4 linked regions of the Xenopus tropicalis genome follow. The protein of the gene in region 3 purifies or fractionates together with the protein of the main gene of each other region. This does not show direct contact. Links are inferred from orthologs where the notes say so. Each region holds a gene or a part of one and is shown on either strand. Other genes may lie near its edges.

Evidence for each region.
Region 1: the proteins of snca (region 3) and clu purify together in Homo sapiens (affinity purification with western blotting; 3 studies listed by BioGRID and IntAct, with this or other methods). This does not show direct contact. The link is inferred for Xenopus tropicalis from reciprocal best matches to the Homo sapiens genes SNCA and CLU.
Region 2: the proteins of snca (region 3) and slc6a3 purify together in Homo sapiens (affinity purification with western blotting; 6 studies listed by BioGRID and IntAct, with this or other methods). This does not show direct contact. The link is inferred for Xenopus tropicalis from reciprocal best matches to the Homo sapiens genes SNCA and SLC6A3.
Region 4: the proteins of snca (region 3) and park7 purify together in Homo sapiens (affinity purification with western blotting; 3 studies listed by BioGRID and IntAct, with this or other methods). This does not show direct contact. The link is inferred for Xenopus tropicalis from reciprocal best matches to the Homo sapiens genes SNCA and PARK7.

What each region holds. Positions count from the first base shown.
Region 1 is NC_030681.2:159,885,916-159,889,413, reverse strand, and holds the end of clu (clusterin), read left to right. Parts: intron 1-32; coding exon 33-203; intron 204-868; coding exon 869-1,283; intron 1,284-1,681; coding exon 1,682-1,795; intron 1,796-2,169; coding exon 2,170-2,399; intron 2,400-2,844; coding exon 2,845-2,919; 3' UTR 2,920-2,936; downstream 2,937-3,498.
Region 2 is NC_030682.2:78,463,854-78,467,420, reverse strand, and holds part of slc6a3 (sodium-dependent dopamine transporter), read right to left. Parts: intron 1,553-3,567; coding exon 1,315-1,552; intron 1-1,314. UniProt on the Homo sapiens protein: Mediates sodium- and chloride-dependent transport of dopamine. Also mediates sodium- and chloride-dependent transport of norepinephrine (also known as noradrenaline). Regulator of light-dependent retinal hyaloid vessel regression, downstream of OPN5 signaling.
Region 3 is NC_030677.2:78,431,494-78,435,715, reverse strand, and holds the start of snca (alpha-synuclein), read right to left. Parts: upstream 2,846-4,222; 5' UTR 2,562-2,845; intron 2,160-2,561; exon of another isoform or gene 2,054-2,159; intron 2,014-2,053; exon of another isoform or gene 1,929-2,013; intron 1,596-1,928; 5' UTR 1,571-1,595; coding exon 1,450-1,570; intron 1-1,449. UniProt on the Homo sapiens protein: Neuronal protein that plays several roles in synaptic activity such as regulation of synaptic vesicle trafficking and subsequent neurotransmitter release.
Region 4 is NC_030683.2:96,565,189-96,569,465, forward strand, and holds the start of park7 (protein deglycase DJ-1), read right to left. Parts: upstream 2,813-4,277; 5' UTR 2,803-2,812; coding exon 2,713-2,802; intron 699-2,712; coding exon 597-698; intron 1-596. UniProt on the Homo sapiens protein: Multifunctional protein with controversial molecular function which plays an important role in cell protection against oxidative stress and cell death acting as oxidative stress sensor and redox-sensitive chaperone and protease.

The sequences.
Region 1 (3,498 bases), on a different chromosome or scaffold from region 3:
TGAAACCCATTTGATCCCGTTGGTTCCGGCAGGAAGCCCTAAAGAGAGCCCTAGACACGGAGCAGCAGCTTGCGGAGAAGAAGGAGGTGTGTAACGAGACCATGTTGGCCCTCTGGGAGGAGTGCAAGCCCTGCCTGAAACAGACCTGTGTGAGGTTCTACTCCAAAACCTGCCGGAGCGGCTCTGGCCTGGTGGGGCGCCAGGTAAGTCTGACACCTGTCTGTAGTCTGTCCGAATGCGTTGCTATTGGGTGGTACCACCAGGGAACCTTCAACTCACTGTTCTTTCCTGGTCCACCATAAGGGGGTCTATCTTCTCTCCTGGTCCACCATAAGGGGGCCTGTCTTCTCTCCTGCTCCACCATGAGGGAGTCTGTCTTCTCTCCTGGTCCACCATAAGGTGGGCCTGTCTTCTCTCCTGGTCCACCATAAGGTGGGCCTGTCTTCTCTCCTGGTCCACCATAAGGTGGGCCTGTCTTCTTTCCTGATCCATCATAAGTGGTCTTTAGGGTCCTTAGAAGTAAGATGCCCTAATGTTCAGCATGTAGGAAGGCCATAAGACAATAAATGGAGCCCACAGCTCTATTATTGGACAGGAGGACACCCCCCTGTGATTGGGAATAATACCTAGCTAAGAACTTCTTGTAGTGGCCCTCAGGAAGACAAGAAAGCCATGGTGGAGGCAGATAAGTGAGGCCAGCTGGTTGGGTGGAGTAGAGAGCTCACTGGACCACCAGGTATCTCCTGGTAAGGTAAGGAGACCAGAGCCTTGGATGCAAGGGTGCTGCTAGAGGTTGTGTTGTACCATCAGCTGGGGGACCACCCAGGCCTATAACTCGCTCATTCCACATTTCTCTTTCCTGTTGCAGTTTGAGGAATTCCTGAACCAATCTTCTCCATTCTCCATTTTAATCAATGGACAGCAGATCAACTCGCTGACCCAGGAGGGAGAGCAGCAGTCTATGACCCTGGATGACCTTGAGGGGGGCTACAGTCTGGTGGAGGACAGTGTCGATGAGCTCTTCAGGGAAAGCATCAAAGCCTTTGGGCAAATGAAGCCGTTCTTCAGTAATTCCTTCCATAGTGACTTCTTTGGGTCTCAGTGGAACCCATTTCCCTTCCAGCGAGTCGGGTTCCCATTTGCTGAGTCTCGGCGGGCAAGGTCTCCCTCGTTCCACCCCTATTTCTCTGGGGACTTCGAGTCCCTCTTAGAGGCTGCACAGAAAATGATGGAAAGAAGTCACCACTTTGCCCCAAGGCTGGAAGGACTGGGCTCCATAAGGGGTAAGTATTATACTGTGTGCCATCTCCCAGGGTTCCCCAATGTATCACTCATTCCCCCTCTCTGGGTAGGGAACCCCATAACCTGACTGCCCTTACAGTAAGGAACCCCTTCCTATGCTGATAGTGAGATCCCCTTTCCTCCCCACCCCCAATGTATCACTCATTCCCCCTCTCTGGGTAGGGAACCCCATAACCTGACTGCCCTTACAGTAAGGAACCCCTTCCTATGCTGCTGGTGACATCCCCTTTCCTCCCCCCCCCCCAATGTATCACTCATTCCCCCTCTCTTGGTAGGGAACCCCATAACCTGACTGCCCTTACAGTAAGGAACCCCTTCCTATGCTGATGGTGAGATCTCCTTTCCTCCCCACCCCCAATGAATGTTGTTTCCTATGTAGGAAATGGCGATGAATCCGATGACAAACTGGTCTGTAAGGAGTTGCGTCGCAATTCAGCCGGCTGTTTAAAGATGCAGGAAAAGTGTGAGAAATGCAAGGAGATTTTAGCATTAGGTAAGTAGGTTACATTGTAGATAAGTACTGACAAGTACATTCATGAATGCTCTTATTTGTGGAAATGCATTGAGCCCCAGAAATAGATGAACGGACCTGCTGCAATACCGCATTCTGCCAGCAGATGGCCAAGGCCAAGGCATTTATTTTTTGCCAGTGTTGCCCACTATTTCCCTTATAGTATAATTGTAATAATGATGTCATGTGTAGCAGCCTGATGATGTCATGGGCATGGCGGGGGGTCCATACACATCTCTGGGGGCCACACCGGGGCCTTGAGACACTCATTCAAAAACATGTTTCTTAATTTAATGAAATCTATGAAGTTTTTTACTTTCCGTTTGATCACATGGGGCTCATTATCTGGATGTTAGATTGTTCCGGGAAGGATCCGGTGCAGGAGCAGCTGCAGGAGGTGTTTCAGGACTCCCTGCGCCTCGCCGAGAGGTTCACCAGGGAGTACGACGACCTCTTGGAACAGTTCCGGGAGAAGATGCTCAACACCACCGGTATCTTGGAGCAGCTGAACAAGCAGTTTGGGTGGCTTTCCAAATTCACCAACATGACCCAGGGCAGAAAGAATGGGATCTTCCAAGTTTCCACTGTAAGTGGTGCATTGTGTTATTCCTCCAATGGCCGGGGTGTGGTGGCTTCCTGGTACCAAGGACCTTCTGGGCACCTTGGCAAGTTCAACAGAGACATTTTGAATGTGGCTAAAGGTTCTCTCTCAGGGCCACAAAGCCAGAGGTCCTAGAGTTACTTGGGATTTGAGCCCTACTTCCTGTATATCAGGTAACTGTAATGGACCCAATGGGCTCACTGGGCAGAACCATTTTCCTAAATCAAGTGCATCACCACTGAGCAGTTGTGGGCCCAAACTGAGCAATGTTCATTTAATGCCCTGATCTTAATACGTGTAGAAAGTCCCACCATGAGCATTAGGTTGGTGGCTTGATGCCCCTTTGGAGACCTTCAGAAAGCCAACACTGTGTCCCGTCTCTTGCCTTCTGCCCCTTTCCACTCATTCCTTACTTCTCTGTGTTCATTAGATCTATTCCAAGGAAGGGGAGTCTCCTTCCGATACCAAAGTGACCATCAACGTCTTTGACTCTGACCCAAACTGAGCAATGTTCATTTAATGCCCTGATCTTAATACGTGTAGAAAGTCCCACCATGAGCATTAGGTTAAGGGCTTGATGCCCCTTCGGAGACCTTCTACACTATGGCCCGTCTCTTGCCTTCTGCCCCTTTCCACTCATTCCTTACGTCTCTATGTTCATTAGATCTATTCCAAGGAAGGAGAGTCTCCTTCCGACACCAAAGTGACCGTCAACGTCTTCGACTCCGACCCAATAACCTTCGCTTTGCCCGGATACATCTCCATGGATGACCCGAAGTTTGGGGAACTGGTGGCCGAGGAAGCGCTTAAGAGGTTTAAAGCGGAAGCTGTGTAAGTCTTGGCCGATACTTACCTGTAAGCCTGACATGGCAGTGGGCGGCAGTTAGAGGGGCTATTATATCTCAAGGGAAAGTTAAGCAGTAAGGGTCATTGGCCATTGATGAATACTAGCACAGCCAGCCATGTTTTCCATCAGGAAACCAATCAGGGCAGGCAGTTTGCATCCTGGTGGAAATTAAGATGAGAGTAAGTGGGGGTCTCCCATGGGCACCTATACAGTACAGACCTACAGTACATTGTTTGG
Region 2 (3,567 bases), on a different chromosome or scaffold from region 3:
CTGCCAATCATGAGCCAGATACAATTTCTTGAAATAAAAGAAGATTAAACATGTGATAAGTTTTTCATATAAAACCAAATCTGGCCCTAAGTATGGTACCATACCGCAATTATTTCTACTTTCTGAGGAAGGCAAAATGCTGTGGAGCCCATGTTATGTGGAAACAATGCACCAGTGTGACCCTATGTCGCAGACTCTCCCTACAGAAAACTTCAGAGTGTACTGGTAGACCATTTAAGTTATGAAAAGGGATACTTAAATATGTATAAAATTAACAGGTGTACTTATAGAATCTAAAATGGCATTTATAGGTGGAGTTTGCATTTTCTAACAAAGCAATAGAAAAAGTATGCTTTTTATTTACTAAAAAAAATTACAGTTTGTTGAATCCTATTACATTTTTTCATTTTAAATGTGTAAATGATGAAGTTTCTCTGTTTTATTAATATAGACTACACATTTTGGTGGAACTTATTGAAAGACGAGCTTACTGCCGCTTATTTGTGATCTGCTGTAGTGATTATTTTTAGATTAGCACCTACAAACTGATAATTCAATAGACCTTCTGGGAGAGGTCTCACAACCATTGCCTCAGATAGAGTAATGGTAAAACATGTATGGTTTTGCTTGGTCACCATAACTGGATGAATTTTCATGCTTTCTCCCTCTACTCCAGGTAGGATTTTATGGGAGATGCAAAAGAAAGATGTGTCCAGCAAGTGCCAATCTAGAGTAATGGGAATTAATGTTGATTAATTTAATCACCTTTATAAATAACACCTTTATAAATAACAGAAAAAACACGCACATATATCATACTTTACAGCTGTACAAGAGAATTGAGAGAAATACTGAAATATTTTACCTGGTTATGCTGGGTGCATGATAAAGCAGGATGATGTACTGCATAGTAAACAACCATTAAGCATTCTGTTATAAAATGGTTCATAAAACTGTACCCCCAAAAGTCAAGCTTGGGAATATTGAACCTAAATTAAGTGGTAGCAGTCTGCATGCCATGATTAGTTGCACATCGGCCCTATGACTTGAATTTGGTTGATCAATAAACTATGTAGATTGATTGAGTCAAGCATTATAAAATGGAAGAGCTGGTCAAAAATAAAGTACAGCTACACTACTTTTAACCACTTTTATCAACAACATCCAGGCTTTTACTAAAATCTATTGGAGGGTATAATTTGTTCTACATTGTTATTTGCACAGAATCACTGGAATTATCTCATTCCTCTCTGTAAGGGCTTTAAAATTTTACTGTAAAAGAAAGAATTACAGAGGAAATGAGCCAGTACTTACTCAAAGTATTCAGCAGCAGGTGTGACTTTATAAGTATCATTCAAGCCAAATAAGCTGTAGTCACTGAAGTTGCTATATTTTGTCTCAGAACAGTTGGGACTGTTCCATGAATTGTTACAGTGAATCCAAGGTAATTCCGAGGTAAAGGAGGAAAATAGATACTGCAGAGCCCATGCAATGATTACATTATAAAAAAAGCCAACATATAAAGATATCAAAATGACCGTATATCCAACCCCTATAAATAAACAGAGAAAGAGTTAGTTTAGGTGAATTATTAGATACGCAACAAAATTTTTTATCATAAGACTATATAACATGCTATCATAAGGCTATATGGATAATGTATTATTTCTACTGCATTTATAATGTGCACATCTTCCATTCTCCAGACAGTATAAGTATAGGCCCCTGTTGAGCATGAGAGTGTTCTTAAATGCAGTATGCACCTTTGAGGGTGTATTTGAATGCAGGGTACCCAGAGAATATTATAATTGCAAACAAAACATCTGTCTTTATGGAGCCTTGGATACTAAGTACATTTTCATAATTTTTATTGTGTAAACATTGTAATAATGGATCACTTCTCAGCTTTAATAAAGGCTTTCTTCCCTACCATTTTAACAGCTTTGTCCCCGGGCAAGTTTTCTGCATATTTGTCAGACAGGCAGCAGCTGAAGACTTTAAAGAAAGTTGTTTTTTTGTCTCTGCCTTTCATGCAGATCTCTTAGCTCATGTTAAATTAAGGTAGTGACTAAATGTTGAACTATGGTGCCACAACTTTCATCAGCACTACAGCCAATTACCTACCACCAATATATTATAATTTGAAAACAGGGAGCAAGCAAGATTTTACTGTACACACTTATCTTCACTTTCATATTGGTGCACTGCATAGAGGAATGAAATAGCTCAAAGCAGAGCTGGGTTGGAACAAGGCAGAGGCAGAAGAGAAGACGGAATTAAGCAGATCCCAGCAAACAGAAGAGAGGAAGGCAGTAATCGCAGTTATCAGCACACAATACTAGAATAGGGACTGTTCCTAGATACAAGCTATTAAACCCCAGCTGTGTGTACTGTGGGGTGGTGAATGCAGCAATCTGTTAACAGGTGCAAAAAGGCTGATTCATAACAATAGTGTTTAGGGAAGACTGGCCGTTTTCTTCCACTTTGCTTAGATATGGGGGAAACAGGCTAATTTATTACAGGGGGATGCAGGGAGTCAAGCTGAAATTTCAGGAGAGTGTGCTTATGTATTGCAAAGGGGTCTGAAAGAGACTGTGATGCTTTATAAAATTATTATAGACGATCTGTTACAGGGGAATGAGCCACTGCTGTCCTGTTACTGGGAGGCTATGCAATTTTATTCATGAGGATAAATGTGCTGTAGTGTTTCTTTATTTGCACTTAGCACCCTATTCTGCACTTAATAACTGTATTATGCATGGAGACTGCATATATCATAGTATGGTAGAAATGCAATCTGAGGTATTTGTACTGTATTTTACTTCCTAAGTTTCCTTATTGCTTTCATGTTTTATTTGTCTATTTGTGTACATTGTTATGGATTAGTTTAAGGTGAAACACATCAATGTCTCTGGTTAAAATAAATCTTTCCTAGCTTGGGGAAGATAATGATATTCGCCACCACAAATAAGCAGCAGGTTCCACTTTAACATGTTGCTATTACTTTTTAATCAACAGAAGCAGCGCAACTTAGCTATTCCACCATATATTTCTGAAGCAGAACACAAGGACCCACAGAGTAACACAATTTATTCAAATTGTATACATTTTCCAATACAACTTGCTGTATGGCAGTTTCATCTAAGTAATAAGTAATAAATGCAGATCATAAAGAAAAAATGGATGAGAAAATAAAAGACTGGACAGCTTGGGATGGCTACAATTAAAATGAATTCATATTTAAGAGGAAAGATGAAGCAATTGCCTATTTTCTTCTACTGCACAAAAACATGTCTGAAAGATATTTTTCCAAAGCGATTGCATTACGCTTGTCTTGGTTACAACTTGTAGTCTATGTAAACAACAATAATATTTGTGAATGCCTGTAACTAAAGTTGATGTTTTGTATGGCTATTTAAAATGCTTTAGTCCTTTGAGTCCTGGACTTGGGCAATAACAAGAATATTGGTTTATGTTAGAAAAGTCTAGCAATGACCTACATGTTCAAATCAAAAAGGCAAGCAGGCAGACCCTAATTAGAGAAGATTCATACAACTGCCAAGAGTA
Region 3 (4,222 bases):
TGTTAGCTTCAGCACATGTAATATGCACCTCCTATTCATAGGTTTGACTATAAATATGTGCACTGTGCAAACTTTATTCTATGTACATATTTTAATTTTAAAGGACACGTGAACCCCCCACAAACATGTAATAAGTAAGCAGCCTCTTTGAAATATTTAACTACATGTCACTCTTGTTGTTAAAAGGTTAATAGTAAGGCTGCAGCATCCCGTTAATCACTTAGGATTCCTTCTTCTTCTGTAACCCACTCAGCCCCCTTCCTCAGGAATATGCTTTGACTGTTGGCTACTGGGCATGCTCAGTTCTTCTCAACTCAGATTACTAGACTCTCCAGTCTAGCAGACAATTAGGAGATGGCATTGCTGGTTCCCATAGAAGCTCTGCTCTAGCTGTCTGCTTCTATTTTTCTCCTAGCCATGTCTTCTGAGCTCAGATTAAACATTAGAGTGCTCAAACCAACCAAAAATGTTTATCAAAGTAAGTTTTGCCTGTGTAAGCCTGCAGTCTCAGTTGCATGAATTTTACAGCATAAAGTTGCTGTTTGCAAATACATCACTAATAATGGCGGGTGGGTGAAAGCTACTATCTGTTTTAGGAAAATAATATGGTGCTGGTGAACTTTGGGGATATATGCAGTACAAATGATGCTGTCTGAGTGAGGGAGATGTACCCAAATTATATACATAATAGGAACATGTAGGGTTTACACAAGAGAACTAAGGACATTTAGTTTTGTGTTATTATTAAAATGTAGTGTACTGGACCACAACTCAGGTCTTTTGTAGGTTTCAGGGGGCAGTGTGTCCCATAATCTTCCCTAGTTGACCTTTCTGGTCTGGTTCCTATGCCTCTTTCCTTTGCCTGAGCACTTGGAGAACTATATTGATGTGTTCACCCTTCTATTTTACAGATCTGTAGAATATATTGAACTATGTTCTTTCTATCCCTCTCCCTAATTTTTTAATTGTCATTATAAAGAGTAGCATTTAAATTTAGTCATTATTTATTTGTATTGTGTAAATTAGATTTGCAATATACCTTCAAAAGAAACAACACTTTGTAAAATCATAATGTAAAGAATATGTGTAACAGGCTACAATGTGATTAGAACTGGGCAATCTATTATCAAGCCTACAGTTTCTGTAGTGGTCTGTCTTGTGGCTTACAAAACTGTACAGTGGGCTATTGCTTCTAAAACAGACATGTATGGGATTTACCACCAAGGAGATCCTCTGTGATCTCCAGGGGTTACAGATCCATTCTGCCATGGACAACTACTGCTACAAACTTCTACACAATAAACAAATGTTAAAGGGTATTTGCATTTGTATTCCAAGGACACGGAAGACAAATGATAGATCCTATTGTGTTTTTTGCAGGGTGATGAAAAATGGAGATAAGGATTGTAATTGAACAGATGACATTATATTGATTAGTTTTTTACCTACCTACGTAGAGAACACCCTCTTTTGTCTTTCCTGCTGCTTCTGCCACTCCCTGTTTGGTTTTTTCTGCAGCTGCCACAACACCCTCTTTAGCTTTAGAAAGCCCTTTCATGAATACATCCATAGCTAATAAATTTATTCTAGTGGCTCTGCAAAAGACAAATGCATACAAACACATTAGGACAGGTCATTTGATTATAGTGTAACTCATTACATTTGAACAGCATCTACAAAATAAAATATCTGTAACTGATTAGTATAGGATTTAAAAAACAATCTCTCGGTGCAACCCTTGTCTATCCTTAATCAGTCCAATCAGCAAGATATGCTATATATATGTATTATATTGCCAAAAATGGATTTCTGAAACATGAAACGCCATTTGTCTAATACTTCTTTACTACATTACAACATGCAACAGAGTATTTCAACAGGACGAGTCGGTCTATGATGGTAGTATTTTACAAAGGTCTGTAACTTACCAAAATATTGTAAATAATAATGCAATAGCTGTTGTCAGGATGAAAAAGCTTTACAATAATTATTTTTAATCCAACAAAAACTTTATTCTTAAGGAAAAAAGATAATCCCTGTTGTTAAAATGTACCTAATTATTTAAGATGTTTGATAGGTGATGAAGATCAAAGTGTATGTATGTCTGTGATTGTGAGAGTCTCTCTTTATACAGATATGTATGAGTGTGTGTGCAAGAATGAATATTTGAGTGTGTTTGTATGCAAGAGTGGTGCTGTGTATGTGTGAGAGAGTTTGTGTGGGGGTGGTTGAGGGAGAGTCAGAGAAAGGGAATGGGAGAGAAACAGACACAATATACCGTACTTCACACAGGCAAAAAGATTAAAGATAAAATTGAGCATTTAACCCACAGAAACCTTCATACTTCCTATTCTCCTTATATAAGACAAACAACCATGTGCATCATTCTCCGTTGCATTAAGGACACAGGTGACAAGCTATCCCGTGAGCAACTGTCAGCTGCTTAAACTAGGTCTGGGTGAAAATGCCAGATAGAACATTTAAAAAAGCTCATAGTGAGCAGAATAAATACACTTAATATCCTACATGGCATGTTATATAGATGTAAATGCAATACTTACATTAACCTTTGCTCCCCAAAATTAGTCCAACAGGAATGATATCTGTGCGTGTATAAACAATAAAAAAGGAATCAAGTCTCTTCTTCAGTACATAACTGCCAAATAAATCCCCTGAGAGGTATGTGCATATGTAACAACCTGATGGAATCAAAGCATTCAAAGCAGGTACCAGAGAAACCACACCTATCAGCTCTTCATAAACAGAAGGAATTTTAGAAGGGGTAAAAAATAAGAGATTAATACTTTTACTCAGTAGGAGCAACCTATGTCCTCCGTATTTTTCTTCCCTTCCCCTACACCCTCCACACCTCCCTCCTCCCGTCTTTCCTTTCCACATGCCTGATTTGTCAGTGTGAAAATTGAATAATCGTAGCCAGCCTCCCCAAGCTGGACCACTTGTAATCCGACTGCTGCTCGAGCAAACAATGAGAACCATTATCAACAGAAATATTTGAGATTAAGAGGTCTGCCTTGCATCGGAAAATTATTGTTCCCGTCACCTTCATTTGTAATGTAGGTGCTGGAAAGCAACAATCAAATCTGCCCACAAAACACCACCAACAAAAAAGAGTAATATCGTCTACTACAGACATGCAAATGATCTGCTACCTTACCCTAGCAGCTGCTGTATGCCTGCTGTGCTGAATTATTTATTGCTAAATATCTGCACTTGCCACAATAAATATTTCTTACAACAAGCTTGCAGTCACTAAGGTGATAGCAGATATGTAACAGGCAAGCATTTAAGCGCTCTCTCCAATTACTAATGACAGTAAGAAGAGAAGAATAACACTAAACAGCTAAAATATTACAAAGCCTTACCAAAACTGAATTCTAGTATTTACTATATTATGTAGATGGTTCCTTTCAACCCAGGGAATTGGTCAGTGGAAGGACAATGTAATTATGCCCTAAATACTCCAATTCATAACTGTAACTAAAGAATGTGGAACCTTTAGATAATTACATTTTGCAGACCCATTCTGGTTACTGGTAATGATAACATCTTATTATCAACCTTATCCACAATAATTCATTCTGACCATTATCCATGCACTGCTATGAAATGCTATAAGATCAGCAACCAGTTTCATTCCTAAAAAACAGGAGTACTATTATTATCATCCCTTATTTACATATTATATATATATATATATATATATATATATATATAGTAGTAAGAAACCAGGAAAACAAATAAATCCCTTGGGAAACTACAACCAAATGGTACCCAGTAGAGAATCAATCTATTTTTCCAACACAGCAAGGCTTCCAAGCTAATTTAAGTGCTCATTTTCTAATCCCCAGGTTACATGTGCAAGAGTGCGACACTTAATGCCTTTTTGCACTTTACACAATGTATTGTGTGTGTGGTACAGTACATAACCCCTTTGTTATTCAAGAAAGCTACAACGACAGAGGAATAATTCACAGAATTGTTCTGAAGATTCTTCTGTTGGAGGAGAGGTGTCTTTTAAAACAATATGCAAAAAGTACAACTAGCACAAGCCCTACTAATTGAACTCATGTTAAACAAGGGGGTATGTTGCTCCTGTACTTCAAAAAAGACATGGCATCTGTCACACAAAAAGCCCATTTCATTTTGTGCATTTGTGATTTGTGTTTTAACACCTAGTTATTCTTATGGTCTTAGTTCTGAT
Region 4 (4,277 bases), on a different chromosome or scaffold from region 3:
AAGTAATATCTAAGATCATAAATGAAGAGGCTTTACATCTAGCAGGTGGGTGAGTTTTTAAAGTGTCATGTACTGAAATAGACTTTGACCTTCAAACTGTCAGTTAAGCAGCCAAGCAGGGCTGAGCTGGACTGGCACTAAAAAGCAGCTCTGGCCGGCAAAGCACCCAGCCCATGCCTGCCTGTGCTGAAAGTGAGATTATAGCGGTAAAGAATTGCTGCTAGAATGAACATATGTATTCCACTAGCTATATTAGCTAGAATTATTCTTCATACATGCAAATAAAAACTAACAAGCTACAAGCATTTGATCAACACACTACACACTCTTATATCACAAGATCCACACATGATTAGACACAAAAATCCCAATGGCCTATTTATACAGAGAATCCGGTTACCCCAAATCATATTGCAAGTGGATAATGTATGTGCCTTTCACAGTCAGAAATGTTATAGAAAAAAAAAAAGTTAATTTTAGTTTTTTTAGGCAAAATGAAGGCATGTGGTTATCCTTCACGAGAGAAAACACAGTACAGTAAGCCAAAGTAGGAGTGTTTGCCCAACACACCTATGAATAATGAACGTATACCTTACCTGTGTTCGAGCCTCCTCCAGACTAGTGTCAGGGCACAGCACCACATCTCTGCTGCACAGAACCGGATCCTTTCCACTTAGACCTGCAATCGTTACCTTTATCTGGTAAATGGAAAAATGGCAACTGTAAATAAACTTTTCTTAACAAAACATGCAACATTCGACCTGCTCTCATGAATTGCATGCAACTGTGTGCATTGACACAAGGGATCCATGGGATTAAGAGAGCCTTGACCTGCCAGTAGCTCCAGGTTTCCATTAGTGGTTTGTGCCCACAGATTCAATTGACTTACACCAAGTATATCAGACAGGAAAGCCACTATTGATGGCATGTGAATTTGAAGACCTGGAAGTGATGCCAACTGTACATAGTAACTTAGGTGCAGTTTACCAAAACACATACTATTTTCCATCAATATTTAGTATATAAGTTGAATCAGACACTATTACGAAGTGTTGTTCTGATAAAAAGACTTCCTCAGGGGCACAAAGGAAGTCTGTACACTATAGGCTTATATGGACTTTGCTGTTGAGATGTTGATACTGCTGCTATTTATTTACGTGCAATATATTTAAATTAAAAAATTATACCATTGATATTATCCTATGGGAGCACGCTCCTCTCTTTTTCTTTTGATACTATTATGTGCCCACAATAATACAGGAATTCTGAATATTGTGGAGTCTGTACACAAATGCAGTAAATGGCACTGATCTCTAAATTGTCAACACATCAAAAAATGTGAAGAATGCCTACTCTACAGCTCACCTTACAGCCAATCAGCTGCAATGTTAATAAACAACACACTGCAATTTGTGTCTAAAATTTGCCCAATGGACTGACTTCTTGAGCATATGATTGCTGGAGGCAATGTCCACGAGCTTGTAGTTATTTTAGAAGGTAGTGCTGCCAGGGTTTCTGCCATTTGCATCCCTTTGTGCCCGGGTCATAGTAAATTACCCCTTTTTGAAAGTTGAAAGTTTTTCTGGACAGGGTCTTCTTTAAGTATTGTATAGGTTGTTGGTTGTAATTGTATATTTTCTTGTTTATTTAATGGATATACCCATTTGTTGTACAACACTGTGGAATATGTTGGTATTTTATTAATAGGTGATAATAAAAACACCACAGGTCACAAAGTTACATTACACACAAGTTGCACAGTGGTTTGTTACCACTAGAGGTCTCTGTAATCATTCCTTTTTACCTAAACTGCAGTTACCAGTACCCAAAGGGCAGGTCATTGCAACAGAAGAGATATATTGCCCTCCTCTGGATCAACTAACAGACAGGATTTAGGCATAAAAGGATGAACTTGATGGATGTGTGTCTTTTTTTCAACCTATGTTACTCTGTACATATATTCTCTTATTTTGCATTCCATGAAAGGTCTAGATTTTAAATCTTTACACTTAGTGTTAAATCACATACAGACATTCCAGGTAACAGGGTAATGTTAACAAACCTTTCAGAGAAAGGGTAACTGATCCTGCTTTGTTTTGTGGGAGAGACTCTGGTCTCTATATCTTCTATATTGCGTGCCAGCAGGTTAATCACATACAGTGGCAGGAGAAGCTGGCAGGACAAGTGCAGTCATTAAATCCAGACAAACTAAGTATCTTAAAGCCCATGTATGGGGCCAAAAGGAAGGCATGCCCACTGACTGAGACCCAGCACTGACTGCCAAGGTGCCTCCCAGTAGGACAGCACAGGTCCCAATTATGAGCTGATTTTGGCACTGGGGCCAAGCAATCCCTGCAGCAGATTTCGCCTAACAACTGAGTGGGCAAATGAGGCAAAGAATCAAACGTGCTTAATTCCCAGCTCAGGCCACAGACAGCAAGGGCTGGATTTCTCCAGGCAGACATAGGCAGTGTGACTGTTCAGCAGCAGTGCTTAGCCACTGATAGAGGGACCTGTTGCACAGTCACTAACTAATGGCAACCTGCGGCGGCTACTGAACTAGAACTTCCTGATGTTAGAAATCCGTATCCAGCCAATAGTTACAGTGCCAGCGCACCACACCTTCAGAGCTCAGTGTAACCACCCCTCCATGCCCAGCAAGCTGCACAGCCATACGGTCTCGCAAGCAGCTAGCAGCCATGTATTACTCACTCCTGCCCTTCTCATCACATCAGCGGGAATGACTGTCTCCATCTCCTCGGCCCCCTTGGCCAAAATCAATAGAGCCCTCTTGCCAGCCATACTCTCTTTCTCCGCTAGCTCACAAACTCCGCCTCCAGGGCCAGAGCGCACCAATATCTCACGTACAGCCCCACCCCCTGCATCAACTGACGGAAAGCCTCTTGTGTCAAACTCTGCTTAATTCAATTAAATGCGCAACGGGGGCTCTAACTGTACATTGTATTTTTTCCGGCTTCATAGCTTGAACTTTCACATTGCGGTTACAGTGGTGCTCGACAGGTTTCAAGCTTTGCTGGAATGCTGGGAGTCGTAGTCCCGACACACCATTTCCTGCCTCAGCGCGTCCCACAGGCACAGCTCGGTCACATGACCCATGGCGTCACCTTCTGTCTGTTCTGTGAGTGTGAGAGAAAGGGAATAATAGCGGCGACTGCAGGCGCATCTTGTTCCTGACCCAGAAGGCAATTCCATGCTATTGTGCGCTATCTGTGGGAGTAGGCTGAGAGAGAGACTGGCTATCTGACGGTAGGGACCCGGCCTCACTCACCCACGTTTAACGCACACATTCCCGGTACTAATATCATTCCTGTCATTGTGTGAGTAGCTTTATAATATGAGAGGCGCTTGTACCCACTCACACACCCACTTAGCTCAAGCCCTGCCGCCATCTGGGCCCCCAGTCCTAATGGGATCTCTAAGGGAAAGACATGTTGATACTACATACATTGTATTAACATGAGCCTTTGACACCTTAGGGAGGTTGGAGAGTTTTAGTTTAACAAGTTTTCCACTCAGTATTGCATTAAGGGACCTAGCTTCTCTGCATTCTCAGGGGCCCTTTGGTCTGTAAAGTCTATGCAGACCCATTGGGACTGGGCCCACATCACTTTATTGGTAAAGTCTTTGATTGACAGGATAGGCATTCAGGCAATAGTCCAGACTCCCCAACTGAGTTTGGGCATGTTTACTCTGCATGAGAAAATTGAGTTTGCTTGACAAGTGCTACTATGGTAAAATAAGTTGCTGTGTAGCCATGGGAGCAACAATCCAAGTTCTCATGGGGCTATAGGACACACCTTTACATAGCAGATAACTGATAAGCTGTATATGATACAGTGGGCATTCATGGCTCTCTATAGGGCTATAGAATGAACCTTATAATAGAACGCGCTGGATGAACTCATACAAACGTTAGGTGTACAGAATACATTTTTATGTAATTTAAACAGAAGTTTTGCTTTTAGGATAATCTAGGAAAGCAAATCTGTGCTTTTCGTAATTGTATCACAATACATTACTGATCGACAAGTGAACAGGTGAGCAAGAAACCAATGGGTTAACAGTGCTAATTGTAAAAGAGGCACCATTGTTTTAGGTACTGTATTAATAGATGTTTTCAGGTCAGGCTGCTCTGTAGCAAAGATGGGAGTGCCTTTTTACTTTGTATTTCTATTGGCTTTTTGCTAAAGGACCCCTCTCATAAAACTCCCTAGGCTTTCGGACTTCCAGAAAACCAGCCATAACTAGATAAAGTA